Drosophila melanogaster: one gene and its partners. The gene in region 3 interacts genetically with the main gene of each other region. Each region holds a gene or a part of one and is shown on either strand. Other genes may lie near its edges. The genes, in order: sick, mbt, ssh and Vap33.

Region 1 (6,306 bases), on a different chromosome or scaffold from region 3:
CTCTCCCGCTTATATCAATTTACATTCCATTTGCCGCAGGACCTCGCCCCATCATCCCTCGACCTTTCTTCGTGGAAACCTTCATTTGCAGCTCACCCGGCCTGCTATCCATCCATCCAGCCAGCCAGGAACTAACCAACCACCACGGCCCACAAGGATATGAAAAGCAATGCACTTGACACTTTGCCGGCCACTTCAGCTGGGCCAAAAAGTGTGCTTCACTTGATGTCCTGTCGGCGTTTCATTAGATGCTTCTGATGGCAAAAAACTGCCCCAAGAGATTCTTTGGCTGCTGTAATTCCTTGTTTTTTTTTTTTTGGGGGGGAGCATGCCTCAAAGCAAAAATGTACAGCGCGTATTTCAATTTGCAAATGATGGGAAATGCCTGTGGCACGGAAAATTGGGAAGGGCGAATAGCTTATGTGGGCCAGTAGGGGTGTAAGTACACACACTTTCAACTCGGCACCATGGCAACAATTTTAATTCAATTCCATTAAAAGTCGCTAAGATTGAACATACATTCGCAGCTGGTGTGTGTTTTTGTTGTTTCCTTCTGGGTTTTGCTTTTCTCTTCTCTTGCAACCTGTCCCTCACTTGGGCACACAATCAAACTAATGTTTGGCGGTAGGGAAAACTAATGAAGCGAGCAGTGAAAACGCGACGATTGATTGCTCCCCCGAGGCAACGAGGAAAACAAGAGCGAAGAGCGAAGGGCGGGGGAAAATGGGAAAGCCAGATGCAATCCAGCAGGAACTGCTCTCAAAAGCCCTCGATTTTGGGAATCATCTGCAGTGCACTGCCTCCAAACTGCAATTCCGTGACTCGTTCTTCTCTTTTTTTGATAATTTATACTCGAGGACTCGGCCGTTGGGGGTGACATTTGTTCATCGCCTTTGCGGGTGGGTTTTTCCGAAAATGGTCCTTCGAGGGGTAAGCCAACACCTCCCCTGGGGTGTTTGAAGATGCATAATAAGACTTGTTAAGTTGCTCGCTCGTTAAGATAAGTGAGCCGGCAAATGGCGACAAGTGCGACTACGGAAACAGCCCGCAATGATTACCGGCTTAAGATATGCGAAATTATCCATATAGATAAGATGCTGCGTGGGGTTCCTTCCAATGGTTAATGCGGCGATTCACATTACGGTAAGAGGATTATGTAGGAAATGTATGAAACCTAGCCACATGCACTGCAATATTGAGAGGGTCATAAGAGCTTCACCAAAATAAGCCATTTGCTGGTGAGCCCCACCGAGCTGAACATTATTGTGGCACTTTTCGGGCTGCATCTTAGCATTAAAACCCAGATTTGCATAGGTAATAATAAAGTTCCCTTTTGTCAGGACAAGCCATCAAAGCTAACAAAGATAAATGATTTGTATTTTTTGGGAAAAGGTTTTCTTTCTTCTTGAAAGTCTTCGAAAAATGTCTGGATAAAAATTGAATTTTACTTTGTAAGCTGAAGCACAAAAGTTCTGTTTAAAATAAGAAGTGGTTTAGGTTTTCGGTTTTTTTCTCCATTAACCTAACAGATGCTTCTATTAAGCTTCTTCTTTTTGTATGTCATGGTGATATTTTATATATTTATATCATTAAATATTCACAGACTTACCTCCATATATCCCTGAACACTGTCGCACTGCTGAAGCACCAAAATGGCCGGATTCGCACGCATTTCTTCGGGGGAGCAGGGCGATAGGAAACCACTATCCGCATCGCTGTGGGTTGATAGAGGTCGTGGTTTGCGTATCTTGTACTGGACATGTCGACTAGGCACTGGGCCCGGGTTGAAGAGCACATAGTTGGACTCCGTTGGAACCGTGTGCGAACGCTGATCCTTTCGCTGTTGCTGCAACAACTGTTGCAGGTGCAACATGTGATCCGTGCTGACCAGCTCGGAAATGGCACGTTGCTGCTCAGAAGTATTTTTGTCGATAGACTTTTTGCCACTGCGAAAGGGCGAAAGATTCAGAAATGTCAGCTTTTTCTTCATCGATTGCTGGGCGGGATTGGCCAGGGAACAGCTGCCCGCGGAACTTGCTGAGTTCGTTGAGGTGGATGATTCTACGAGGGCCGTGGATGTGGTCTCCGTATCTTTGGACTCCTGGCTGTTCGACATGCTGGCAGTGTTCTCCAGTTCGTTGAAGAGCTTCTCCAGGTTCTGTTGCTCCAACTTGGCATTCACCAGCTGCTCGTTGGTATAGGGATTAGGTATGCCGATGTCCATGGGAAAGTTCGCTGGGTCTATAATAAAGTAGTTGTGGTGATCAAAACTAGACATGGTCTCTGAATTTTTGGCAGTCGGTTCTGCTTCTGATTCCGCTTCTGGCATAGCTGAAGTCTCTATGATAATAGTCTCCTCCAACTCGAGCTCCTCGTTATCGTATATTACTTCTGGCACCAGTTCATCTTCATCCTCGCAGACCAAGTGCTGTCTTGAGCTGAAAAGGGGATCCCTCAATCCGTGGGCTTGAGTACTGGGATATCTCATGGCTTTCTCGTTGATAAAGTCCACGGGATCAAAGAGACAGTAGTTCTCCATGTGCGAGGTGGCAGCCTTGCGCTGTCTCACTGGTAGATTCCTTAGCTTTTCGGAGTAATCCGCCACATCTTCATTATTATTGGCTGATTCTGGAGCTGGAGGAGGCGGGGATATCTCCTGACTGATGGGCCTTTCCTCCTGCTGCTGCAGCGACTTCTGTGAGCCCCTATGAAGGGTGGCAAACAGGCCACGAGCTATGCAGTTCTTCAGCTCACTCACACGTCCTTTGTAGGGACTCGACTGGGCACTGCTGCTCAGGATCGAGGATTCGTCGATTCCCAGCTGCTTGCTGAGCTCCTTGCGCTCCTTCTTGCTGAGCACCACCTTGCCACGACTGGGCGTATTGGGGGCCGAGTGGAGCAGCCTCGATGGCATTTGGGAGAGGGGCGGTGGTGTGGGAGGCAGCGGATCCCTGTACGGTGGTGGACCCACCAAACAGGTGGCATAGCTAACTGGTAAGTCCGGATAGGCCGTACTCTGCGCCGATGCCGTGGGATCCGTGGCAAGGAACTCCAGTTCCATGTAGTTGGGATGTGGCAACATCTTCGGTTGATTCTGATGATGATTGTCCGTTCTTTGGCTCTTGGGCTTGGCGCCCAGTTGGTTCTCCTCATTCGCATTGCGATCGGGCTTGGTTGAGGAACCCGGACGCAGTTTTCCTGCCTGACTGGACATTTCTAGGGTTTCACTGCAGCTTCCATGGGCTCAGCACTTTTCACTCACACACTCACTCACAAATTTTGTATACATTTTTTCGCCGCTTGGGCCAAATTAATGGCTTTATAAATCTTCATCTTTATGGAGGGCAAAAACGCGTTAATGGGTTTTCTAGTCTTTCGACCAAAAAAAATAAGGTCCTTTTTCCATGTCCTCTCTCTCTCTCTCTCTACTATCTCTGTTTACATTTGTGTTTGTAATTGGATTTTTTAGCTGATGCATGTCAAAGTTAAATTAAAACTGACCCAGCTGGTCGGGGGAAAAAAAAGAGTTATACGTTTCTAGGTTGTTTTTGCGGGCAAAGAGTCATAGTCATGGTCATGGTTACGCCGTGGTTTCGTCTGCTTTTGAAGTGTTCCAGAATGCCGCCGAAACAATGCCAAAGTCGAGCTTTTTATAATTTGTCTACAAAGCAATTAACAGGAAGCCAACGCTGCAGGGATTGCGATAAATGGTGAACAATAATACAATTAAAGTACTGCACATGCGGTTTTAACTTGAATTTGTGCATTGAAGCCGCAGAGGTGGATACATATATATTTGCAACTTAAATGCTTTAAATTGAAAAAACCGAAAAGCATTCACATACATTTTTCTTCAGCTTCCGGCAAACAGCACAGGTATTATTTTGTTCGTGCAATTTTCGAATAAAAGCGATTGTGCGATAGAAGCTGGAAGGGAAATTCAATACGAAAATGCATATCAAGTGCTCGCTAGAGTTTCACATTTGATTAAGTTTCATTTCTCCTTCAGTTTCCCCCCGGTCGCAAAAATGCAGACATAACGGAGATATCAATAACAAATTGACAGCAAATGGATCCATGAATTTATTAAGTGGAAAGCGAAGTGAACAAAGGAATGGTTCATCACTCACGTACAGGTATCTTTTCCATTACACTTGCTGAGATTCGTAGAGTAAATGTGAGTAATCCAAATAGATATAACAAATAATGAACAATGCCAAAGAACAGCATGTTCGCCAAATCGAGATTATCCCAGCATTGTTTCCACTCGGAAAACCAGCAATGAACTTTTAATTTCCTTTATTTCAGCCCACTCACAAAACAAAACTATGACGAACATTTTTCGCCAGGCCAACGTGGCAACAACTGAGAGGAAACCGAAATGGAAAAAGTTTTATTGGCAACAAATTGAAAACCGCCTGGCCATTTGAGTCAGTGAACCAACAAGTTGCATAATTGTTGGCGCATGATAGAATTAAACGCCTCGCAATGAGCCGATGTTCCAATGGCTCCTCTTCTTCTTCCTCTTCATCCTGCTACTTCCGTTTCCGGAAATGGCAGGCTGCAGGTGGCAGAGGCGAAAGAAGTTACTCCAGTTAAGTGGAGTTTCTCTGCCGGTGTCTGTGCCTGCGTCCCATAAAGTATACTGAAAGTAATTTGCAATTAAAATGTTAATTTTTAATTGAATTGCAGATGGCAGTAGGCAATGGCAGTAGTCTCGAATACTGAATCAAGTTAATTAGTGTCAAAGTAGGCAGCTGAAAAGGGGAGGGCTGTTGGGCAGCACTCAAGCCCAAGGTTGATTTATCCAGATTAGCAAAGTATGCTAATGAAATGGTGATAAATGCAAATAATATAAAATTCCAGTTTGACTTACTTCCCAGATTAAATGCAATTGGTAATCCATCTTCTAGGAACAACACAGTTTTTCTTTACATCACCATTACGATTGTAGTTAAAGAAGCAGAAATGTTAAAATCTATTCTACAAATGTGCTCTAATCAGTTGAATCTATACTTTTATAACTGGGCAGTACACGTATTAAATGTTTAACTCCTATAAGGCCACACAATCCTTGTCTGCGTCCATTCCCCTGGGCTTAAAATCCCCCTGAAAGCCACGTGGATAGTGGCTCTCTACTCCAGCATCACCTAATCCCTGACACTTTCAGTTTCCATGACGATTCCGTGAAATGGGGACGAAATGGGGGCAAAAAGGAAAAAAATGAAAGGACCCCGAAGAGAAAGGCAGAAGGCAGGACTTAAAGTTAAACACTTTTGCTTTGAGGTTGAAGTTGCTCGCACTTCATCTGCCTTTGCTTCCAGCTGGCAGCAGTCAAAGTTGACAAAATACTTGTCAAGATTTGCGCATTGAGTTGAGTCCTCCTCTTCCAACTTGTAATTGCAGTTTTGCCGTGGTCTCTTTCAGCTCTGCAGCTCTGAAAAAAAGAACAGATTTCCACCCACTGGGAAAACCCGACGTTTTGCCGGAGGCCATCAAGCCGCAAACTTTACGAGTTGATAGCTGAAATAAAGTGGAGCATGCATTCCGTGCCTTTTAGCCCGCCCACCCACTTCATGACATCATTTTATTTGCACTCAATCTGAGTTCTTTTAGCGCCGCTTTCTGCGCCCAACACGCTGTGCAAACTTCGCTGGCAAGTTGGTTAGAAATGCTTTTGATTTGCTAGTGAGTTGACCAGAATCCCAGCCCCTCGACTCGCTTTCCACACAAAAGCCCACTTTTGAAAAGTGCACGCTTTTCTTTCCATCCTTCAGTTGCTCTTATTGCACCAAAAAGCCCAACCAGAACCCAAAACGTTATTCAAACAAAGAAGAGAAGTATAAGTATGCTGAGGTTTGCCAGAAAAAACTCATAAGTACGCCTTTTGTGTGACTTCTAGATACTCTATCCACTAGATTTCATTTGAAAATTGCATCAAAACAAATATATTTGGCGAAAATTCTAACAAACATTGAGAGAATTTTAAAGGGTAGGTATAAATTCATATAATTCAGTAAATTCTTGGCCAAACTCCATATGGAAATTTTAAATTACAGGGCATAAATAAAGTGCAAAGGCCGTACCGAAAAAAGTAAAAAGGGAATAAAAAGAGCCAACTACAATGCGTATGACAGTTTGAAACACTTCTAAGGACTTTTGAGTTGCGCCGCAAGTTGGGGCGTGGTAGGCGTGGCAAAGGACCACAAAAACAACGCACAACTTCCGCTCCAGCTTGAGGGCACAAAAAAATATGTATAAAACTAAATCAGAATCTATGTGCAATTCAATTAAAGCGCAATTTGC
Region 2 (7,869 bases), on a different chromosome or scaffold from region 3:
ATCCACTTAGCTGCCTGCTCTTCATCGTCTGCGTCCTGTGCTACGGAGTGGTCTCCGCTCAGGAGGAGGGTGGTCCCGCCGTTTCGCCGGCGAAGAGAATCGCCGCCCTGCGCCGTCCGGTCGGGAAGGCGGCCAAGGTGACAACCACGACGACAGCGGCGCCAGCACAAGCGGATGCCGGCGGCGAGGGCGAGGAGTATGACGAGGAAACCGGCGAGCACGGCGATCATGGCGAGGAGGGCGACGAGGCGTCCTTTGCCAGCTCTACCACCACCACCACCACGGAGGCGCCCAAAAAGGTCGGCCCGGTTATCCGGCCGTTCCGCTCCAACGATGACTTCCTCAACTCGCTGAAGCGCCGTCAGGCGAACGCGAAGAAGCACCGTGCCGAGAAGCCGCCCAGTCCCAGCAAGCCGGCCAAGAAGAGCGACGAGTCCAACTCCGGCGAGCAGGAGGAGCAGGCATCCGCGCCAGCACCCGCCCCAGCATCCAGTCCCGCCAAGGGCTACAAGGGCAACTCAGCATGTAAGTTAGTCAGGGATTAGGCCAGGATTTTGCTCTAAATGGACTAGCAGTGCCTTCTGAATTTACTAATTTTGAAATAATTGACATTAAACTAGAATAGAAATCTTTAAAATCATCTCTCTATATCAAGTTATTAAATCCATTACTAACTAACGCTTTAACTATCCCCAGTGAGCCGTCGCAAGCTGTCGAAGCCCGCCAAGGCGACGCCCGTGGAGGCGGTGGAGGATGCCGCCGCTGAGGAATCGGAGCAGCAGCAGAAGGAGGAGACGAAGCCCAAGCGCCCCATCGGTCGTCTGGCCCTGCGGAAGCGCAACTGAGCGTTGATTTGAGTGTCAATCAGATCCAACTCCTATTCTACACACATTCCCAGTGACCAGCAAACAACAAACCCTCCCCCCCCTCTCCAACACCACATTTCCCCTCTCTCTCCCCCCCCCCCTCTACCCATCGAATCATATGGCTAGCTATGTGGCAGCCCGATCTGCCCTTTAGTTTTTAGTTCGCAATTGATTTTTCGTGTATGTAATATATTTGTAATCTTATGTTGTAAACAAAAACACACGCGCACACACAACACTCACTCAACTCACACACACCCACCCACCAACGCCACAACGACCACGCCCACTTATCCAGAGCCAGTACCCCATCCTTCATGTACGCGATAAATACGCATATATATTTTGCGAATATATGTGCGAGTATTTAAGCGGGCACAATTATGTATTCTTCACAACCATCAAACAATCAATCAATCAATCAAACAATCAATCAACCAGTAATAAAAACAACAAAATCGAAACATGCATTTTTCAATTAGTTTGTAATAAAAAAAACAGAAATATCTTTAAAATGAAACTCCAAAATGTCGAATAAAATATTAAAATATTCAATATTTCTATTCAGAAATTTTTTTTTGGATTTCTAGTTATTTTTGGTAGTTTTTAACTATGAATGAAACCACAAAATTGAACATTTTCGCATTTAAGTTTATTCATTAATTAATAATTACACGGGTTAAATCAAAAAAACAGAACAAAGAATGTAAGCTAAAAGTTCTAAAATATTTTCGAAATCGGGAATGTGTTTAGATATATGCATATGTGTATGTCTGGAGCGTACAAACTTTTCACACCAATGTAAAATGTAAAATGTTTAAAAAATATTTATGTCGAAATTGTATATGCTCTTCCGCCTAACGCTATCTCTTTCTCTTTCGTTTTCTGTCTCCCTTCGATTCACACCTTCGTTGTTTCGCTTTTGCTTAGAATTAGGATTTGTTTTTATAAAAAATATATGTGTATATATATATATATATAGATTTTTAACATTAGCTCTTAGCGTATATATGTATATATTCGAACAATGTTTTATGGGCTGGTTAAAAAAAATCAAACACACACGCACACAAATCAATATTGACAAGAGACAGAGAGCAAAATGCTGAAATACTCATATATGTATATATATATATATATATAAAAATGTGGTTCTCGGGCAGATAAATGCTATATCGTTTCTCCATCCGTATCGGTTGCAGGATGCGATTTCAATTTCGATTTCGAGGCTTGTGAAAGGCACATTGCGTTCTCTTCTGGAACGTTAGTGGGCATGGATATGGATATGGATGTGCGGAGCTTAAATGACTTTACAACGTTTCGAGGATTCTCCGGGGATTTAAGTACAGCTGCCAAACTGAATGTTAATACTAGAATTTAATAGATGGATGCCCACGGGCCGGGATCCGTTGTCTGTGGGAATGATTGCTTTCATCGAGCAGCCGGATCGTCTGGGTTGTCCAGTGGCATCCAACTACGGATGGTGTCGCGCATTGCGCATCAGCGGAACCAGCAGCGACGGCGGTCCTGCCTGGCGCAGGAAGGGATGGGCCAGCAGCTCGGCGGCGGTGGCACGCTGCGCCGGATCCCGCACCAGCATCCGGTCGAGGAAGGACTGCAGGCGCGGCGAGACCTTGTGCGCGTTCTTCAGGTTCGGCGGCTGCATGTCACGGATGCGACGCATCGCCTGCAGCGGCGGTTCGTTGAAGAACGGCGGCTCGCCGTCCACCATCTCGATGACCATGATGCCCAGCGACCAGATATCCACTTCCGGGCCGTACGGCAGGCGCGATATGACCTCCGGCGACATCCAATACGGCGTGCCAACCAGACTCTTGCGCTTCGGCAGCTCCTGTGACACCTGGGCGCAGAATCCAAAGTCCGATAGCTTCACGCGACCATCGGCGGCCAGCAGAATCGAGTCCGACTTGATGTCGCGATGAATGACGCCCTGTTTATGGTTTATCGCCATCGGCAGCACCGTCGAAAGAGACAGAGAGAGAAGGGAAATTGGTTAAAAGCGTTCACAGTTTGCGGTTTTCCCCCAACCAACGCCCTTTCTCCCGCAGACAGACACTTATCGCATTACACGAGCCAACGTGGGACAGAAATGCACAAAAGAAACCAGATCGACCCTGCAACGCCCAAAAAGAATTTCCTGCTCTTGGGAACACGCTGGTTTCCCTAACGTGGAAGATAGCATAAACAGGTTGGGTTCTAGTTCTAATTTCATTTAAATAGACTACATCTAAAACATTAGGAATGCTTAGTATTGTGAAATGTTGGGGCTTAAACAAGTTCCAATTGACTGACTGACTTAATATTATTATTATATGCTATTCTAATATTGATAGTTTTAATATCTCAAGTTGTATCTCAGGCAAAATCATAGCAAATTGGCTTATCTATCAATGAGTAATGAACTATAACTTTAAACTTCCTTCATCATAAGATGCAATTAACTATCCATTCGAAAATCGCTCTATGCACACTTTTCGCTTTGAGGTAGGGCATGCACGTGCGATTTCACCTGGCACTTTGGGCGTGCTACGCCACTCGATGGCCCACTGTGCGGCCGACGACTTTTGTTGGTGACAACATTTAGAAATTGAAACCAAAGCCACGCGAAAGCGGAGGGCGAAGAAAGCGCCGCAAATGGCAAGGTACAAAGGCACAAAGAATCGCATGATGGCGAGTACTCCGTTCTCTGCTGCCCAGTTTGGCCAAGGGAATGGTAATGGGAACGGGGACAGGAAAGGGGCAGTGTCATGCTGGTCACGCACCTGTGAGTGCAAATAGGCCAAAGCCTTCAAGCATTGCTTGCAGACGGTGGCTATCTGCTCCTCGTCCATGCGCGAATGGGTGACAATATCGGTGAGGGCGCCGCCCTCGAGGTACTCCATCACCACCCAAAGCTCATCGTTGACCAGAAAGCTGGAGTATGTCTCCACGATATTGGGATGATGGTAGTCCCGCATGATGACGACCTCGTTGAATAGCAGCTCCCGTCGCTGCTGTTTGCGCAGATCCATCTTCTTCACGGCCACCTGGCGACCTGTACGTAATGAGAAAACCAAATGCCATTAATTCAATGGTTTTGACAATAGTTAAAGCGGATGTTCTTGCCTGTGGATTTGTCCGTGGCAATGCATACGGTGCCCGTGGAGCCCTCGCCTATTTTGTTAAAGTGGTCGAGGTTCTCGCGTGGATCACCGGCGGAGACCACCATCTGAAGGGCGGCACGGAACTGTTCGTGGGTGAGTCGTTGGTCCTGCTTTGGCTGACCCGCCGCTCCTCCACTGGCGCCGCTCGCCTGCTGGGCAGCACTGCTCGCTCCCCCGCTGGAACTGGATGCCCTGGACGCCGACTTGGCCAAATGTTGGTGATGGTGCGGATGCGGATGAGCATGCGGATGCAGAGGATTTTGGTTCTGATCGCCACCCTGTTTGGCCTGCTGTTGCTGCTGCTGCTGCTGCTGATGGCTTGTGGGATACATGGGAGGATAGCTGCCGCCGCTGTTGCCATTGTTCGTGTGCGAGTGATTGGATCGCGTGCCACTGGCCACCGAACCCACGGGCGAAGTCTGCTGTTGCTGGGGCATGGAGCCGCCGGATGGCGGGGCCAGATTGCTGCGATACTGCTGCAGGTTGGTTTGATCCGTGCGCACGGCCAGTGGTCCTGTTGCTCCATTCGCGTGCGCATGCTGACTGTTATAGAGCAGGGAGGGATGGGCACCGGGTGGCTTAAAGCCACCGCTACTAGCTCCACCTACTCCCGGTGTTCCAGCTGCCGGTGGTCCCTCCTCCTCCGGCACCGATGGCGGCACATTGGCTACCCGTCGCACTCGCGGCGGACTGGAACTCCGCAGCGAATTGGATCTGGCCACGTGAGAGGTCTTCGGCAGGACTATGCCGCCCGTCTCGGGTGGCATCATCATTCCGGGGCCATGGCTCATCATTGGGTGTGCGCCAGGTGCCATGGGATTCATCGGCGCCATTGAGCCCATCATCATTGTGCTGCTGCTGTTGAGCGAGGTGGTGTCCGCCTTGTTGTTGTTGTGATGCGGACGCACAATAGTCTTCAGATCGAGAATCTCGGTGGGCGTAATCTCCGAGGGATCGACCAGTGGCAGCGGGCGGTTGGAGGACTTGAGTATCTGATTGTTGCCCACAATGGACGCCCATTGGAGGGGCAGGCCAACATATTTGTTCTCCCGCTTGTCGAAGCCCGTGTGCACACGATGCTCAAAATTGCTGGGCATCGAGATCAGCGGTTTCTTTTTCTTCTTCGAGAACATCTTCAGCGACTCGGATTTCCCGTGCTCCAAATTTCTGCCCTTTTACCGCCCTTTTCCACTCCACACCACTCCTTCCCTCTCGCTCTTGCTCTCTATTTTTAATGTGTAATTTTTTTCTTTTTGTTGCGTCGCCCGACAATGGAAAATGCACAAACAACAAACGATGGCAACGGCAAATCCGACAGAAACAACAACAACAACAGCACACAACTTCTTCCCGATCTCACTCACACACACACATGCAGGGACACGGGCACGCACGCACACACACACGCATAGCAGCGGACGCGACTGGGAAACTGGGATTCAATTGGATATGGATGGACAAATCGAGATGCGCACAAGCGATACACCTTCACCACTTGCTCCTCTGGCTGGCACACATTGCACACATTATGGCGACAGCACGAGCGCACAAGCAATTCGCTTAACAAAAAAATAATAAACCTAGGGAAATAATTGCCGATGCCAGAAATAGAGGTGGTGTTTATCGTGAGTATTAGTGCTGGAACGGCTATCGATGTCTATCGCAATGGCGGCAGTGTGACCGTTGCCGTGGCATGGTGAGTTCGCCTGTGGTCAACTGGCTTTTCGAAATTCAAATGTTTGTAAAGTATTCGCGCTGAAAACAATTACCATTCAAAGTAAGATATGTACTTTAAGACACCAAATATTCGTTATAGAATTTCATTGCAATTCCAGTTGAAAACCCAAGTAAAGAGCACAATGTTTAAATTATCATACCGCATATATTTACTTATTTACATTATGATACCGTTTCTCTCTCAACATAGACTTCTGATTTCCATTTCTGTTCTCGACTTAAAAATGATCAATATAAACTTAAAATAAAATATTAAATGTTCTTTATGAATTTATGTATATAAAAAACATGCATACAATTATAACTCTTTCGGTTTTCCAGTTTGCCACCATTCTCTCTAATCTTTTCATCTAATCTGTTATCTTGTTAGCTATAGGGTTGGTTGGTTTCTTTACGTTGCTAGATAGTTGTTTTTCTTTAATTTGTTGGCTTTCCACCTTGGCTGCTGCACAGAACGTCGTTGCAGGTATTTTCCTCGTGTGAATTGTGTGTGTGTGAATCTAAACGCTAAAATTAATAACAAAAACTAAAGACTTAATGCAATCGTTTGCCGATCGCTCTTATCTGACTGCAATCATCATATGCTCGACGTATCGGCCAATAACTCGAATATACGTATTACTACATTATACAGTAGTTGATTTTTTGCGCTATTACATGGCCTCGCATCTCTGTTTGATTGCAGCATTACACGTTTCTTTACTATTTCGCAAAATAATTATTACATAATTATCGTTAAGGTATATTATATATTCAACAAAAATAACGTTAAAATATATTCATTTTCGTTTTTTTTTTGGTGCGATGAATTCTCGCGTAAATCCAACGAAGTGTTTTTATAATTTGTAATCATCAATATGCGTAGTATGAGCGACATTCGCGTGGTCATCTCCCAATCATCGGAGAGCAGAGAAGGATGTGGAACGAACCTATTCCTTAGCTTTTTAAGAGTAAGTCGGAGGCTTCTGTCTCGGTTTCGAGATGACGCTCCTTTGCCGCACTATCTTGAATTGGGTCCTTACTAGTACAGTTCGTTCTGTTGATGTATATACCGCTGAATCTCGTTCCTCCTGTTGGTTGTCCTCCTGGTCGCCAGTTGTTGGTGTTTTAGGGACATCGTCGCCATTGGTTTCATTGCCTTCTCCTGTTGTATTCTGCCAAATATTCCTGCTAAAGGGTTTCCTGGTTTCAGAGTTCAGGCTGTGGCGGCGTACGAAGCGGTATTTGTTCACACATGGCGACTTTGGTGACTGCATGTTTATCCTCGATGATCCTTGAATATCTGGCTCCTGGTGATATTGGCTCTGGACCGAACCTTTGAGCCCACTATTGTTGCCGGCGTCTTCTGTGTCTTGCTTTTCCTTTTCGGCCCTTGATGCTTTTGCTGCTACTGCTGATTCTGTTACTCTCGGCAATGGCTGCCAATATCTTAATCCTAATCCGACGGCGGCCTCATTTGCTATCGTGATGGCCGACTGCGATGCCATTTCTACCGGGGCGGCAAACGGCGTACGGGGGCGCGGATTTTGCGGCGAGCCGTCTGGGAACTCTGCGCCGAGTTGCCCGCAGCTGGCGGATTGAAGCTGCGGATTAACAATGGATTAGTATCATTATCATATTTGGTTGGTCAATTTCGAGACTCCCACTGGCGGTTGCTGCTGCTGCTTACAGCGAGTAATGTGGACAAAAAACATTAATTGAACAAATAATATATGGATACGAAATGCTATGAACAAAACGAAACAATATGGCACACACAAATAAGACAAACACAAACTATAGTAAAATATGAAATTCGCAGGATATAGAAAATGCTACATATATCCTATTTACACAATGGTAAATAAACCATTCCGTGGAGGAAATGGATGCGTTTTTAACTTCGATTTAGTTTTCACTTGTGGCCAGTTTCCATATATGACAATATGATTAAAATGATTGATTTATAATACTATTCATTTTTCATTAGTTGATTTTTTTAAGCACAGCTTAAACCAGTTTTTTATGAACATAAATGGTAAATGAGGGCGAAAACATATAGTAAGTAATGATTGTAAGAATTTTGTCTCTCTAAACTTAAATTACGAATATATTTTTCTTTG
Region 3 (7,725 bases):
AGTTCTGGTGGTGCTGGAGCACCGCCTGCGTGCGCATCCACTGATTCTGGTGCACCTCCCAATCGGACAACCGAATCCAATTGGAGCTCTGGGTGGCCAGCTTGACCATGGCACATCTGTCCAAGGCGGAGGCCAGACCCTTTTTGCCATATGAGTCGTGCGTGGGCGAGATGATGCCACCTACCACTCTGTGGGTTCCCTGCATTTCGAAGTGGTCCTTGGCTATCTCTGTTGACAAAAACATGCCGCGTAATTTTATCGATTATGTACCGCAGAATTTCACAATCTAGTTTAACTCACCGAACATCCGAAGGTGCATGGGTGTGGGTGGACTGAAGCATCCGCAGGCTATGAAGGCGATCCGCGGCAGCAGGCTTTTTGTTTCCTCGATGAATGCTGACATTTTCTTCGATTTTGAGCGTCTTTTAAAAGATCCAAACCGCCGGAAGCATTCGCTTGTTATGTTGTTCTTGGGCCAGCTGATTTTCACAATCATCTGTTCGGCTTGTTGTTATTTTCCAACACTAAACAGCTGTGCAGTGGCTACCACCTCTGACTACCTTTGACTTGTTATTCGATAAATGATAACTTAATGTAACTTAATTTTTTGATTTTTAATCATCAAAAAGGCAAGAGTACATAAAAATGTATTAAAGCCTGTTTTACTGATATATCAAGAAGTATACAAACATCACTGCGTTTCTCATTAATAAGTACTTTTTTCGGTGTACCACACGAACATTGCTTTCGCTTGCGATAGTTAGCCAGCCCTGCCAGAACGATTGCCTGACGATACTAGTGTTATCGATTAGAAATGGCGTCCTCACTGTCTTTCTTTTAAGAAAAATTCGTGTAGTCTATTTACCATTTAGCAGCGTTGTGTGTGTCCGTTAATTGTAAGGACACGCTGTTTCTTAGAGAGAACCGCCTGGCTAGAGTGTCCGGAAAGCGGAAACCAAGACGATCGCAGGACGAGGTCGCGGAGCCGACTGCAAAAACAACGGCCAGCAGGCAGCGATATGAAAATGCATTTGTAGCCTTAGCCCACAACACTTGCACACACACCACACACTCTCGCGCACACTCACACACAGGGAAAAGGAGGTGGAGCAGAAGGAGCCGAAGCAGGAGAGGATTGCAAGGGACACCGCTGCAGCATCGCCATCATCTGCGCCAGGTGGAACACGAGGGTCAAGAGGCGTCGGCGGGGGAGGAGGAGCAGGAGGTGGAGGAGCGGCTGCGGCGACGACGACGACGTCCACGACCACGGCAACAACAAATGGCGCTGGTGACGGTGCAGCGCTCTCCCAGTGTGGCGGGCTCCTGCTCGAATTCGGTGAGAGGAGACTTGATGGTTTTCGCGTGTGCGTATGCGTGTGTGCTTTGTTTTGGTCACCCCCACTCTGCCAGGAGAGCCAATTACGGGCAGGCTCTTTAGTGCGTGTTCCGCTTTTGGCCATGATCCTTTGTGTGCTCGGATGTGCTTTTCATGCCCAATGTTTATCATCCGCCAGCTTGTTGCTTACGCTTTTTGGATTTCGACGTTCAACGTTCGCGTGTGGGCGGTATGAGGCAGCGTCATCATCGTCATCGGCTGTGCTGCGCTGCGCTGCTTTTGGTGTAACCCAAGCAAATCCGCAGACGTCGCGACGTCTATATTTTTCAACAGACTTTTGCATTGCCTTATTTGTCGTTTTTGTCGCTTTCCGCTTACCGCTTGTTTTTGTTTTCTTCGCCGCCCCACCGCCCAAAAATAGTTCGCGAGACCTTGACGTCCGCCTGCACAGAGGGAAAAATTAATATCGGGGGTTGATCAATTTAATTTTACAAAACGTTTTAATTCAGATATGCTCAATATGTCAAATCGGTATTTTTGAACACATAAATTAACATTTTATTATTTCTAAGAAATCAGAAAATATAAAAAAAAAAAAAATACTTCACTAAACCGGAATCTTTTTCGAACTTGTGACCCTTTTCTCAAAATCAGACGGTATTCAGTTGAACAATCAGATTTCTTGGAACTGCAGATACAGCTTTGCTTCTTTTCCGCCCTTGAAGTGTAGACTATAATCAGGAGTTTATCTTACCCCTTTGCAAAATAATGAGCATGCAAGTTTGTTCTTTGCCAGACGACATCCTTATATTTAGCCTAACCCCACGGGTGAGGTGCAGCAGGATAAGGTATTCTTAAACACCGAGTAAACAACTTTCCTTTCTCTATAACATCAGGATGGCGAGTCCGAGGACGACGAGGGCAATAGCAAAGGAAACGATCGCAGCGAGTGCTTCTTTGCCGGCAAGGGAACCGCCCTGGTACTGGCTCTTAAGGATATCCCGCCCCTGACGCAAAGCGAGCGTCGCCTGAGCACCGACTCCACCCGCTCCAGTAACAGTACGCAAAGCAACAACTCGGACATCCAGCTCCACCTGCAATCAATGTTTTACCTGTTGCAGCGCGAGGACACGCTAAAGATGGTGCGTATCCAATGTAAAATTACTTTGTCTATCTTTTAAACATATCTTTCTATTCCTATCAAAAGGCTGTCAAGTTGGAGTCACAGCGGTCCAACCGCACGCGCTATCTGGTGATTGCATCGCGTAGTTGTTGTCGGAGCGGCACCAGCGACCGTCGGCGCCACCGGATCATGCGTCACCACTCGGTAAAAGTTGGTGGATCCGCGGGAACAAAGTCGTCCACCTCCCCGGCGGTCCCCACGCAGCGTCAGCTGTCCGTTGAGCAGACCGCCACAGAGGCCAGCAGCAAATGTGATAAAACAGCAGACAAGGAAAACGCAACGGCGGCCGGCGACAACAAGAATACCTCGGGCATGGAGGAGTCCTGCCTGCTGGGCATAGACTGCAACGAGCGGACCACCATTGGCCTGGTGGTGCCCATCCTGGCGGACACCACAATTCACCTGGATGGCGATGGGTAAGACTGGGCATTCATCTCGTAAGAGTCATGCACTCATAACTGCCTAATTGTCGCTATTAACCTTGGGAATTATTTATAGAATTAATTTAAAAATTAGCCGCCCCTAATCTATACACAAATCGGTGTCGCCTTGACCAATTTCCTAGTTGAGCGGTGGCATTTATGTCGCACATTTGTTTCCAATTTATCTTAAGCTATTTTAATAATAGCATGGCAGAGTGTATTTGTTCTGATAAACGTGTGATGTGCATTTCCTTAATTTCAATGGTTTATCTTATCTTGCTTTCAGCGGATTCAGCGTCAAAGTGTACGAAAAAACGCATATATTTAAGCCGGTCTCAGTGCAGGCCATGTGGTAGGTGCCTCCTTTGGAGTCAGATCCCCTTCAGTCACAAATTAAACCCTTGTTTCTTTCCAGGTCCGCGCTGCAGACGCTGCACAAAGTGTCGAAAAAGGCTCGTGAGAACAACTTCTATGCCAGTGGACCCTCCCACGACTGGCTATCCAGCTACGAGAGGCGCATCGAGTCGGACCAGTCTTGTCTGAACGAGTGGAATGCCATGGACGCGCTCGAGAGCCGCCGACCACCTTCGCCTGATGCCATACGAAACAAGTAAGGGTTCGGTACAACTAATTATTTACGGTTTTAATTCCTCTTTCCCTTGAATGCCATAAACAGACCCCCCGAAAAGGAGGAAACCGAAAGTGTCATTAAGATGAAGCTGAAGGCCATCATGATGTCAGTGGACCTGGACGAGGTCACCTCCAAGTATATACGCGGACGCCTCGAGGAGATCCTGGACATGGATTTGGGCGAGTACAAGTCGTTTATCGACGCCGAAATGCTCGTTATTCTAGGCCAAATGGATGCCCCCACCAAGATTTTCGAGCACGTCTATCTGGGATCAGAGTGGAATGCCAGCAACTTGGAGGAGCTGCAGAAAAACGGGTATGTTTAAGAGAAAAAAAAGGCCACACTATTGATATCCTGGGAAAATTGGCTAAAATCAGCGACAACTTATTTTCATTTTCAGCGTTCGCCACATCCTGAACGTGACGCGGGAGATCGATAACTTCTTTCCGGGCACCTTCGAGTATTTCAACGTTCGCGTGTACGACGATGAGAAGACGAACCTGCTCAAGTACTGGGACGATACGTTCCGCTACATCACGCGGGCGAAAGCCGAGGGATCCAAGGTGCTGGTGCACTGCAAGATGGGCGTCAGCCGATCCGCCTCGGTTGTCATCGCATATGCCATGAAGGCTTACCAGTGGGAGTTCCAGCAGGCGCTAGAGCACGTGAAGAAGAGGCGCAGCTGTATAAAGCCCAACAAGAACTTCCTCAATCAGCTGGAGACGTATAGTGGGATGTTGGACGCCATGAAGAACAAGGAGAAGCTGCAGCGCAGCAAGAGCGAGACGAACTTGAAGAGCACAAAGGACGCGCGACTGTTGCCTGGTAGCGAACCAACGCCCCTCATTCAGGCTCTAAACCAGGCCAAGTCGAAGTCGACTGGTGAAGCGGGCGTAACACCCGATGGCGAAGAGGAGGATGGTTCACGCATGCACCGGCGATCCATCGCCCAGAAGTCACAGCGTCGCATGGTTAGGCGCTCGAGCAGCACATCACCCAAAACCCAGACGGCTGTGGTTACCAAGCAGCAAAGCCAGTCTATGGAGAACCTTACGCCGGAACGTAGCGTGGCCGAGGAGCCAAAAAATATGCGCTTCCCAGGCAGCAACGGCGAGAACTACAGCGTCACCCAGAACCAGGTGCTGCACATCCAGAAACACACGCCTCTGTCAGTGCGCACACGAATTCACGATCTCGAGGCGCACCGGGCGGACCAGCTGCCACAGCAACCTGTCTGGACCTCGCTGACAAAACTGATTACACAGACCTCTCACTTGGGAAAAAGTGTCAGTGGCAGCAGTAGTGGAAATATTGACTCGCGGCGGGATTCTAGCTGTTCGGATGTATTCTCCTCGCAGGTGGACAGTGTTTTTGCCAAGGATGAAGGGGAGAAGCGCCAGCGTCGAAAGACGCACTCCTGGACAGAGTCCTTGGGTCCAAGTGGCGGCATCGTCCTGGACCCCACGCCACAGCAACAGAAGCAGCAGTCAAACGCCATTCTGCGTCCCCGAGGCACACGTCAGCGGGAGCTGCCTTCGCGGCACGCAAGTTGGGGATCAGGAGACAACCGATGCTGTCTGCCGCAGAGGACCAGTTCCGGCTCCTACTATGACTCCAATCGCAACACTACGGCCATCTTCGAGGGCGTTATCCAAGACCTCAAGCGCAGTTCCAATTGCAATGTAATCGAAGGAGTCGCCGTTGCTGTGGAACCGATAGTTGGAGTTGGCGAGGGCACCGTAAAGCGCACCAAGCAGAAGCTGGAAGAGAGCACCTCGCTGAAAAAGCGCTGCCAGGAAGAAAGCCAGGAGCTGCTACTCGAGGCTGTGGATGCTGGGCAGAGGCGGTGCCCAAGCCTCTATAGGAGCGCCTCCTCGGCGCACAGTCCGCGGCAGCGTCAGCCACTACGCTGTAATAGTGAGGAGCTGATGCACACCAGCGACATCGAGAACAAGAACACCACGCCAGGCGACCATGAGGCGACGGTAGTGCTGCGCGTCCAGGGACAAACGCTGGCCGACGATCAGCGCATCTCGGGCAATGTGCAAATACTCAAGCAAAATTTCGAAGCCAAAGCGGGAGTGGTGGGCACAGGAGGAGGAGGAGGCGGTGGCACTGCAGCGGGATCGGGCAGTAGTTCAACAATCGCAACGTCGGTATCGGCGGTGGCCGGAGCCTGCTCAGCGAATCCCGGCAAGAAGACGACTAGCCACCAATCACTGCCATCGTCGCCGGTGGCGCAGCATGCCAACCACGTGTCCGCCGCCTCCAACTCCAACTCCTCCGCCTCCAACTCGTCCGATTCCAGCGTAAGCGAAAATTGTGATCGTAATGTAAAAGGTCTAGTGCATAAATATCAAACCACTACTTCCTGCAGTAGCCAGGCGGCCGCCACCCCCACAGTCGCCTGTGCCCCACTGCCACCCGCCGGAACCGCCAGCAACATCAGCCACTCCTGCAGCACCACTACCACTACTAGCTTCAAGCAACGCCCGCTCTCCTACTACGACCGCTCGCTGTCCAACAGATCCACGCATGACTATAGCGACAGTCGACCGCCACCCGCGCCCGTCCGCGTCAGTCACAGCAGCAACGTTCAGCACCAGCAACAGCAGCAGCAACAACTGCAACCGGAGCAGCATCAGCAGCAGGTGCAGATCCGGCGGTTGGCGCAGCACGGGAAGACGCATCCGCTGAGCAGGCTAAGTGCTCCGAAAACAGGCTTTAACACCGCCGCCTACAACACCATGTAAAGGCCATGCTCTGCTTAACAACATGCTAACTGCAAACTGCAACATTCACATACCACTTGCAACTTGCAATCCATACCCTGTAGCCACTAAGGATCGTCCTCATCCTATCGCCTGCTTTACTTATTTATATACTCGCCCGCTTTCGACCATTTTGTGTTTTTTGTCCAACAATCGAACACCACCACCCCATCCATCCCCTCCATCATGCCTCGTGTTTGTTGTCTTGTTGTGTAAGGCGTCCATGAAAGCTTCTAAAGATCTTGTGTCTGCAATGTGTGAATGGAACTATTAAGATGACAAGAGAGGGCAAACAAAACAACCTATGGAAATGAAACTGTATTTGTACTTTTAAATTACTTGTAACTGTATACATATTTATTTTATATTATGCAAGAACTGCCTACGAATAAACGATTTATTGTATATACGTCATCGTCTTGTCTTGTGAGTGTCCCTGTGCCGTCCATGTGCCATTCACACCACAACTCCCATGTGTTGCCCAACAAACACTGCCCTCCGTTTTTACCAGATTTGTATTTGCAGCCTTATCCACATGATCCGCTCCTTCCGCTACTCTTGGGCGGAGTACAAGAAGTGATCCGGCACATGGAGCACCGACTGCCGAGGCCGCGGCCCAAAAGTTCCCACCTTGAACACTTGTATTTTTTGCCATTTATCAGACCACATATTTATAAATAAAAATGTGTAATCCAATTTCGAGCGCAATCTGTTTTACTGTTGGCCATGAGTCACCTTTGGGTACACACATAATTTAATAGTGACCGGAGATATGAATTATTTTCACATATTGTATAATTACAAAGAAATTAACAATTACTATTTAATATAAATGTAATTTGATGTAGTTTGGGGATTTTAAAGTTAAATGTAGATATAGCAAGGTGTGTATGGAAGGAAAAAATATATGGGTTCTAAAAAGTTTTTTTTTTAACAAAATCCTTATCGATTTGAAAATAATAATCATATTTCTAAATATTGTTTAACAAAATCCTTATCGATTTGAAAATAATAATCATATTTCTAAATATTGTTTAAGCTTTCTAACGGCACAGTGTTTGAAAAAGATTTTTTCAGATCGCAGATTATCGTTGCCTATCGCCCATCGATATGTGTAGGAGGAAACGCAACCAACCACCTGGTAACACTGACACTCACACACCTGCAGATGCGCCAGCACACACACACAGAACACACACGCACACAGACGCGCACTGAACTTCCACTACAGTTTCTTTATTTTCTGCAGGAAAATTAGAAGCAAAACGACACGAAATTCGCAGTGAACTCGCGGCGGACTCGCGACCGTAACGTAATCGGAATCTCGGTGGTGATCCGGAGGCCAAGTGCACACCGTGCGATGCTAGCCACTGGCCAGCAAT
Region 4 (9,343 bases), on a different chromosome or scaffold from region 3:
TTGCTTAAAGTACTCCAATCAGATAATATGCTCGGAGAGCATCCGGTTTGCAAGCAGATGCAGAGCTTTGCGGATGCAGCAAAAACATTGGAGCAGCGCGTTGCCGAGATGAGAATGGGTGAACTCTTAGTCTTTCTCGATTCCGGTATGGCCACCGATGAGGAGTTGCTCGCCGGGCTGGACAATCTCTTTAGCCGCTTCATAGCCTTTGGTAACGATGAGTGCGTGGAAACGATGGCAAATCATTTAATTATGCTCACCAAGAAACATGCCCAGATAATACTCAGTTTCCTGGGTCAGGTGGTGGAGTCCGAAATGGTGGTCGAGGACGAGGGCATATCCGTTACGGAAGTAAATCAGGGGGATGACGAGGACGAGACCTCGTCCAACGATGATTACGAAGAGCTGCTAAGCCTAGTACTGCGTCCCTTATTTATGCAATTAAATGTCGAGGACAAGATGGAAGTACTGCTATTGCGCGATGAGCAAAACGTTACCCAAGGATTTAATTTCAAGGCTCCCGATCATCGGGAGCGTCGCATACGCTTCTTTAATCAATTGGATTATAATAAGCGCTTCCCGATAACCAAATTTCTAGTACTGTGCTTTGAGAACGCAAGACAGACCTGGATTGATTTCTCCCACTTGGGCGTGACGCATACTCGCTTCTCGAAGCTATTCTGGCACATAGCTCAGTCTTGTCCCAAGCATGCTGCTTTTCATATTTCCGCCTGTGCCGATAACATCTTGGTGAACGAGCAACTACTTCAAAAGCCGTATGCCTTGCAGTTTACACTCTACCTATATGGCCACCGACAGATCCTCAACGGTCTCTACACGTCAGCGCGACAACTGTGCGTTAGTTTGAAAGACGGACGGTGTCCCTACGGAGAGGATGAGCTTAGGCAGGCGCAAAATAGGTTCCTAGACGCGTGTGCCTACGGTTTGGCCAAGTTTATAGAGCCCATGAACTTGCCCAGCTTGCAGTTAATCTTGAAACTGCTCAAGCAGATTAGTCTGGGTGAAAGCAATCTAATCACCCGAGGCACTGCAGAGTTAAATGCACTCGAAAAGGAGCACCCGAAATTGGAGAACGGAGACGATGCACCAGCTGTCAAGGTGGCCAAGCACTACACATATCTGAATGCCAGCTTGCCAGAGTGGCGTTTGAAACACTGGAAGCTGATCTCGCATGTCATGAAAACCATTGATGCCCTACGCTGGGACTTGGCCACCTTTGAAGATTTCCGGGTGGATAATTTAGAACTGGCGGTGTGGTATTGGCAGGACGGTCTGTCTCATCTGACATTCCTAGGCACTGGTGCGCTCTTATAAATGTAAGTCCAAGACGAAAGCCTACTAATTATTGCTCTTTCACAGAATGCCGCCAGAGGATCTTGAACCAAGTGAACAGTTTAAAGCACAAGGGCTTTTGGCTCATCTACCTTAAAGAAGACACCTTAAAGGACACACGCTCCTTTCTCAAATTGCTAACTCAGTCCAGTGCACAGGAGGCTAACGATCTCTTCAAAAAGCTCCTTAAAAAAAGGGCCGATTGTGCTGTTATGGGCGATCTTAGCGATGCAGTGGTCAAGGTGAACAGCGAGTCCGCTTTCATGGCCTTTAGATTCCTATTTCGAGAATATTTGATCGCCTTCCGGAGCCACGCCAAACACAATAAGACCATCACGAAGCGCCAGCATTGGGATCATTTGATGGCCGTTGTGGCCAAGGCTCCATTCTCCATTCGCAACGAGATTATGAAGCTAGCTAGTAAAGCCTTCGCTGTGCGATTCGGCATAAATATCCAGGAACAGCAGGCGGCCAAGTGTTAAGGAGATGCTGTTAGAAGTGTAATTTTCTTAAGCCAAATCGAAACTCCGCCGCTTGTCCAACACTTTAATTCTTAGGCAGTCAGATCTCTATATGACTAAAAACATATATAATATTCATAACGCTAGGATTGAACATCAGAATAATTTGATATCAGATTATTTTACAACTTTGTATGTCCTTTAAAAGGACGACTGTATGCACATAACAAATGTACCACTACCATGCAAATTTTTTGTCTTACTAAAAATACTTTGGCAAGCAAGTGAAGTTATTCAGCTGAAAATTAATAAAATTTTGCATGTTCTTTTTTTTCGTATTATTATGTATTATATATATAATATACAAAACGCTATGATTGAACATCAGAATAATTTGATATCAGGTTATTTTACAACTTTGTGTGTCCTTAAGGCCGACTATATTTACATAAAATATGTAATACTACCATCAAATACAAATTTGTGTTCTATTAAATAAATGCTTTGGCAAGCTTAAAATTATTGTAATTTTGCATGTTCTTATTTTTATTCGTATTTTTATGTATTACTTCGACTGCTTTGCTTCCTGTTGCAAAATTGTAACTTAAAACTAGGAAAATTTATTTTAATACATTTTTAAATTTCATGTACTCGTTATGTTATAAATTTAACTAATTTATATTCTGTCAAAAGCTGAATGGCATTATTCAGGGAAAGGAAAATTTTGGTGCAAATTGTTATTAATAACATTTTCAAATTACCTAAATAAAAAAAAATAGAAAAAATATCTTGTCTTAAAAAACACTATATATATTTTACAAGGTAATTTAACGACCAATGCTTGACAAGTATCGAAAAGTCGCTAAACTAAAAATATCGATACCCGATGCATCGATATTTTTTTCACATCACTAGCTGACAGAATATATGGCTTTTTTACATTTTGCGTTTTCAACTGAAGTTTGCGAAGAAACCGAAGCGTGGTAAACCACTGAAATCGAAAATATCGACAGAAAAGCGACCTAAAGTCGGTGAAGAAGTCGCACGTTGATCGTTGTGTTTTTTTCCCGAAATTTTCTGCAAAAAGCCCGTGCGTGCGTGAGTTTCTCTGGCTCTTGCTTTTTTTTTGTCCATGCGTGTGTGTGTGGTCGCATAAATTTACCGATATTTCGCCTGTGAGAGCGAAACGAACGAAAAACGAAAGAAAAAAAGAGAGACGAGTAAAGTAAAACGAAACAGGCATAAAAACAGCAGCAGTTTTCTTGATATATTTGGCTAAAAAACGCAAACGTAAGCGAAAAATTTGAAATCCCTCTTTTAATTTAGTTGTGTGCCTGTGTCTCGTATCTATGCGTGCGTCTGCATTTTAATATAATTTTGTGTGCATTTTCTTAACAGCAAACAGCCAGCAAGAACAACAAATAGCTGGGCAAAAACAGGACGCACAAAAAATAAAATTAAAACGATAAGAGGCGAAAAGCGGAGAGAGTGAAATTCTCGGCAGCAACAACGACAAGAACAACACCAGGAGCAGCAGCAACAACAACAACAAAAGCCAGCCGCCACAATGAGCAAATCACTCTTTGATCTTCCGTTGACCATTGAACCAGAACATGAGTTGCGTTTTGTGGGTAAGTTTATTTTACATTATTTTCGCGTTTTTGCGGAAAGGTCGCTGCATATCGACCAAAAAAGCCGATTCACCTCCCATTTCTTGCAAAGAGCAAACTGCAAGTTTCACTTTTTCTCTCTCTCACGCGCACATTTAATCTCCCTCCCTCTACGCTTTCTATTGCCATCTCGCTCGATTGGCTATCAATAATTTCCGTTGTTTTTGTTCTTCCTTTACATACGACACCTTTTATTGTTGTTCTTTTCGGGGTCTACGTGTATCATCGCTCTGCTTCTTTCCGTTTTTTTTCTTTTTTTTTTTTTTGCTTCAGCTCTTTAATGTATTTTATTTTTTGATGCCGGCAGCTGGCGTCGCTCTCTTTCTCACTTGCACTCGCCATCCCTCTCCCTCTTGCTCACTCGTTTCGCGTTTTTGGCTAGCATTATATTTTTATACGCAAAAACTTGTCATGGGCCATTTTAATTTTTTCTTGTCTTTTGGCTCCTTGAATTTTGGCCAAAAAGCAACAGCAGCAGTGACAAAAACAATGCAAAGAGCTCGCACAGTGGGTGCGACAAGTGGCACGGTTGTCATCGCATTGTTATTGAACTCCTGTTGCCAAGCTGCATTTTCCAGTGCATAAACATTTAATTTTTTTCGCGAAATTTTATCACAGTCTCAATTGCAGAACGAAATGTCTACTTAAATGACCAATCATTGTTGATTGCGATCTAGAATAATACACCAATAACCATTCACCATTTGTATTTTGTCTTATTGAAAAAAATTGAGTTAACTTTTCAAGTATTTTGCTATCGCTTCCATTGTGCGCAAATATTTTAATATCTGTGTATGTGTGAGTGAGCCTTAGCCCCATTCTTTTGCAACCCCCTCGCCCACGTTTCCCGTTAGATCGTGAATAGTGCGGTCGGCGAGGGGTGAAAAACACATGCATGACGCGACTTTGTCTAATGAAATTTCCTTGACACACACTTACACCAAAGAAAAACACGCACACGCCATGCTAACAAACAAAAAAAATTCCTTTCGTTAGTTTTTGCCCATTTCCTGGTTTGTTTTGATTTTCTCACCAATGCCTGTTAAAAATGTGACCAAAAAAACTATTTTAGAATGTAAGACCCCGCGATCGATTTCTAGTCGGCTTAAAAGTAATATTCGGAGTAATACTAGCGTTTACTAATCACATTAAATCTGAAATAATTTGAAGTAATTTTTGTAATTTCATAATAGTTTCAAAATAAGTTACACATTTTGGTAGTGAATCCAACTTCAATATGCAGGGTATTCCTCGATATTCAGTTTACTATTCGGTTTTTGTGCCCGTTCTCGATTTTGTTTTGATATTAATTCAATTAATTTGAACTTGCCTCGACCAATGACGCAACGAGCGTGACGCTACACAAAAATCAGGAAGAGTGGGGAAAATCGGGAAAGTAGAGAAATGTGGAAAGTGCGAGTGTTGGGCGCTTTTGGGTTGGGTGGGGCTATCGCCAAAATAGTGTGACTAATCGGGTGCATTCAATATGAAAGGGCGATAATGCCTGTTTTATTTAAAGATCATATCATGAGGAGAAAATCGGAAATCAGAAAATATTAACAATAGGGAAATATGTATGTACATATGCGTTATATGTGCCATGAAATTAATAAGATGTGTTCCTTAAGCTAACACTCATTTTGATATATTCTCGCCTTACAGGTCCCTTCACCCGACCCGTTGTCACAATCATGACTCTGCGCAACAACTCGGCTCTGCCTCTGGTCTTCAAGATCAAGACAACCGCCCCGAAACGCTACTGCGTACGTCCAAACATCGGCAAGATAATTCCCTTTCGATCAACCCAGGTGGAGAGTGAGTATTTCTCAAATGGTATATCGTTACTCTAATAATATCGTTACTTATCCTCGGCATGTACATAGTCTGCCTTCAGCCATTCGTCTACGATCAGCAGGAGAAGAACAAGCACAAGTTCATGGTGCAGAGCGTCCTGGCACCCATGGATGCTGATCTAAGCGATTTAAATAAATTGGTAAGGGGAAACGAATAGGACTCTTAATGATGGCATAGTGTGTATATTACTTTTCTAATCAACGTCCTATTCTACACCCGCAGTGGAAGGATCTGGAGCCCGAGCAGCTGATGGACGCCAAACTGAAGTGCGTTTTCGAGATGCCCACCGCTGAGGCAAATGCTGAGAACACCAGCGGTGGTGGTGCCGTTGGCGGCGGAACCGGAGCTGCCGGAGGCGGAAGCGCGGGTGCCAATACTAGCTCAGCCAGCGCTGAGGCGCTCGAGAGCAAGCCGAAGCTCTCCAGCGAGGATAAGGTATGTTAAGTCGAACAGGCAAAACCTTTCTAATGGCATAATAAATAACGCTAACATATTACCCAGTTTAAGCCATCCAATTTGCTCGAAACGTCTGAGAGTCTGGACTTGCTGTCCGGAGAGATCAAAGCGCTGCGTGAATGCAACATTGAATTGCGAAGAGAGAATCTTCACTTGAAGGTAAGCCAATTCCATTATGACTCTTCATTTTTTCTGTGTTTTGAGTAGTGCAATGTCGAAGTTACTGCTACCTAAGGGAGTTCCTCAGCAGTATTATCAAGATGTCTTCAATATTGAATATTCAGTTTTGTTCGCAATCGGTTAGAATGAGTCGATTCAGCCATAAGGAGAAGCAGGCCTCTGACTTTTTTCAAATTATAGGCTGTACGCGATGATCTCAAAATTGATATGAAAATTAATGACACTATTAGTGACAATTTCTTGCATTAGGTTGCTGTGGTGTACTAAAAATAATCAGCCTTTAAATATAAGTAAATCCAATTTGGTAATTCCAAGAATAATGCAAATAATGATCTGTTGTGCCTGGGAGTTTTCTGCGCGCTTGATATATAATTATTGTTATTATACAATAACTCGGTTCAGTTGGGGTGCTGATTTGTTTTCGAGTTCAAAAAAGAATACATAGGATAAATATTTTGTAAGTAGCCAGATAAGGATCAATCTATCCATTTGTGTAAATTAATAAATTTCTCAACCATTTGCAGGATCAAATCACACGTTTCCGGAGCTCGCCGGCCGTCAAACAGGTGAATGAGCCCTATGCCCCAGTCCTGGCTGAGAAGCAGATTCCGGTCTTTTACATTGCAGTTGCCATTGCTGCGGCCATCGTTAGCCTCCTGCTGGGCAAATTCTTTCTCTGAATGCCATAAACGAACGCCAGCAACATGCTACATGCAACGTGCAGCAACAGTAACAGCAAGAACAGCGGCAACACCATCATACAGCAACAGCAACAACAAAAGCAAAAGCAGCAGCAGCAGCAGCAACTAACAATAGCAACAACAACGAAAGAAGAACAGCAGCAGCAGGAGCATTAAAATAAATTTAATTGGCAGAAGAAACAAACCACAGAGACGAATGTAAAGCTGACTAAACCGGGGACCGTATACATTTAAACGGTTGTATTGAAAATCAAAAATAATCATTGTTTGTTAGCGAAACAAGTATCGCTCAGAATAGTATGGATTATGATGTGAGAAATATTGTTTGGTTCCAACATATTGCTCAAAGACAGATTGGCAGTTCTTGTTTTTAATACGAATCTTAACGAGACTTAAGTGTAAAGCATTCGAAACAATTTTAAGCTGTATTGACGCTTCGTGTATTTCAACCAAAAATATTTAAGTTTTTGCAAGATCTCGCTTGAATTAGTCGCAACCGGACTTTGAGTAATAAGAACATTTGGGCCCTATGAAATCCCTCACATCATAATCAATACTTAAAAAAAAGAAAACATAACGAATGATTACTTTTGGTACCTGGGCTAAACAAAACAAAAAAAAAAAAAAAAAACAAAAAAAAAACCGCAGAGAAAGGGAAAAATAGAAGAGACGTAAAATCGTATTTTCGCAAGGGGGAACATCTCTCAAGAACTCTTTAAAATCCGCTAAGATCCATACGTATATTTGCTCAGATTTTCGATTGCATTTTTTCGCTATTATTAATTTGTAAGAACTTAAGTTTAAAATGCCTCACAATTCGTTTTAATAATTTTTCGATGCATTTGCAAACGGGAAAAGTCAAGTATTTCAAAGAATAACAAAAATTATCATTAATCATACCTTCTCGACGAAACTAAAAGAAAAACCAATTTGTTACTTGAGTGCGAGAATAAACTTCAGTTTTATCAATTTTTTTTATTATTTGCTTTCTTTTTGTTAATTAATTTTTTGCAGCCACATAGACCTAGATGTAAAATTTAAATCGAAAACAGAAACGCAAATGTCAAGAAAAAAACATTTAGCAAAATGCAACAAAAATTAAGAAGAAACACTTGTATGGAAAACCAATCAATGAAAAGCTTCAAAAAATAAAAAAATAAAAACAACAATGCTCTGCAAGGCCGACGCTCTCTAAGAAAGAAAAGTTGCTTCACCTCACCCCTCGTCCCATCACTCTTTCTCATTCTCAACCGTCTGTCCCTCTCTAAATCCCGAAACGAGATCGAACGCGGACGGCGGCTCTATATATACATATTTATATATAATCATTATTGTTTTGGTTGGCATTTGCATTTACTAAGTTTCGTTTTAGTCACTTCAGTGGTTACATTACTACACACATACACACCACTCAATGAACGCTATATATATATATATATATATAGATATATATATATTATATGAATATACTAAATTTCTGTAAGCAAACCTTTATGTAATTTGTGTTGTTTGCCAAGGTCGAATTGAACGATTTCCAGCCCAAATGGCACCGAAATTGAGAAAATCCATCAACTGTATCCGACACGCCGATATATATACGATCTAATAAGTGCAAAAAAAAAATCAATCAATTTTCTAAAAAAGAAAACACAAAAAAAAAAAGGAACGAAAAAACCTTTACTAGAAGCAAAACAAACGCGTGTTGTTCATGGTTTACACTGCACCCGTGGATCCATAGATTTGGATCCATAGATACACCCACCCACCCACTTGGTTCCTTTCGTAGCGCCTACTATTTGCTGGCGATGCATCTTGTTTCACACAATTGTTTCCCCAACACATTTCATTGCTATTGTTCGTGGTTACGACTTTTTTTATATAGTTTGCAAAGCATTGAAAAGGGTATATAGATTTATACATGAATATATATTCGCCGACATGCATGATCGCTGTAATTTCATAGGCATGTGGAAAACTCGTATTTAAATGTTTAACTAGAAATACAGAAAAGAAAAGAAAAAATAAACTAAAAATAAATAAAAGGAAATGTGGAAATAAACAAATGATAAAGACAAAAGCAAATCATAAGCAAATTGTACTTGATGTCAGCTGTAGCAAAAAAAAAAAAACAAAACACAATATATATGAACATAATAATAATAATAAAATGTGAAAACGGAACTTAACATTCAAAAATTGTTTCGATACATTTAACAACATTCAATTGCATTATTTGATTGAAGTCAACCGACACACACACACACTTTACTCACACCCGAAAGAGTCTGTCTCCTCGCGAAGTAGGCGCAAAATCAACGAAAGTTGTAGAAGATCTGGAAGCTGGAGATCAGCACACACACACACATACACACAAGAGAAAAACAATTATTATAATATTTACAGCATGAATCTTAAAAACTAAGCGTTTTTTTCTCAAAGGAAAAGTAAAATGAAACATTGTTAATTAAACATCAAATATCATTTGAAATAAATTTAAATAAAACGAAAAGGAAACGCAATGGTGTCTTATTATACAACTGTGCTATAAATCCCATTTAAGCAGCAGAGATTGTATCCCTTATAAAAAATGCTTTGGTTTAGTTCTTAAATTCTCTTTAGTTAAGTTTTCTGGTTTTTCTTCAGCTTCGTTTCACAATTCGTTTTGTTT

Evidence for each region.
Region 1: of ssh (region 3) and sick, changing one suppresses a phenotype caused by changing the other (phenotypic suppression), as found in Drosophila melanogaster (one study listed by BioGRID).
Region 2: of ssh (region 3) and mbt, changing one suppresses a phenotype caused by changing the other (phenotypic suppression), as found in Drosophila melanogaster (one study listed by BioGRID).
Region 4: of ssh (region 3) and Vap33, changing one suppresses a phenotype caused by changing the other (phenotypic suppression), as found in Drosophila melanogaster (one study listed by BioGRID).

The regions. Positions count from the first base shown.
Region 1 is NT_033779.5:19,824,182-19,830,487, reverse strand, and holds the start of sick (sickie), read right to left. Parts: upstream 4,015-6,306; 5' UTR 3,215-4,014; coding exon 1,610-3,214; intron 1-1,609.
Region 2 is NC_004354.4:16,608,486-16,616,354, reverse strand, and holds mbt (mushroom bodies tiny), read right to left. Parts: upstream 5,671-7,869; 5' UTR 5,164-5,670; coding exon 3,993-5,163; intron 3,922-3,992; coding exon 3,650-3,921; intron 3,579-3,649; exon of another isoform or gene 3,081-3,578; intron 2,818-3,080; coding exon 2,341-2,817; 3' UTR 1,499-2,340; downstream 1-1,498. Other genes in the region: CG9782 (uncharacterized protein), read left to right, coding at 11-525, 697-845; Nup153 (nucleoporin 153kD), read right to left, coding at 7,257-7,350. UniProt on the Drosophila melanogaster protein: Involved in neurogenesis of the adult central nervous system, and together with Cdc42, regulates photoreceptor cell morphogenesis. Phosphorylates exogenous substrates when activated by Cdc42.
Region 3 is NT_033777.3:24,938,029-24,945,753, reverse strand, and holds ssh (slingshot), read left to right. Parts: upstream 1-1,858; 5' UTR 1,859-2,104; coding exon 2,105-2,164; intron 2,165-2,232; coding exon 2,233-2,478; intron 2,479-2,543; coding exon 2,544-2,935; intron 2,936-3,227; coding exon 3,228-3,293; intron 3,294-3,356; coding exon 3,357-3,551; intron 3,552-3,617; coding exon 3,618-3,887; intron 3,888-3,972; coding exon 3,973-6,325; 3' UTR 6,326-6,751; downstream 6,752-7,725. Other genes in the region: Nmnat (nicotinamide mononucleotide adenylyltransferase), read right to left, coding at 1-228, 301-496. UniProt on the Drosophila melanogaster protein: Protein phosphatase which regulates actin filament dynamics. Dephosphorylates and activates the actin binding/depolymerizing factor tsr/cofilin, which subsequently binds to actin filaments and stimulates their disassembly. Required for axon growth.
Region 4 is NC_004354.4:3,946,269-3,955,611, forward strand, and holds Vap33 (VAMP-associated protein 33kDa), read left to right. Parts: upstream 1-2,706; 5' UTR 2,707-3,104; intron 3,105-3,212; 5' UTR 3,213-3,381; coding exon 3,382-3,445; intron 3,446-5,146; coding exon 5,147-5,299; intron 5,300-5,367; coding exon 5,368-5,477; intron 5,478-5,560; coding exon 5,561-5,773; intron 5,774-5,839; coding exon 5,840-5,953; intron 5,954-6,498; coding exon 6,499-6,654; 3' UTR 6,655-9,174; downstream 9,175-9,343. Other genes in the region: Gem4c (gemin 4c), read left to right, coding at 1-1,321, 1,381-1,835.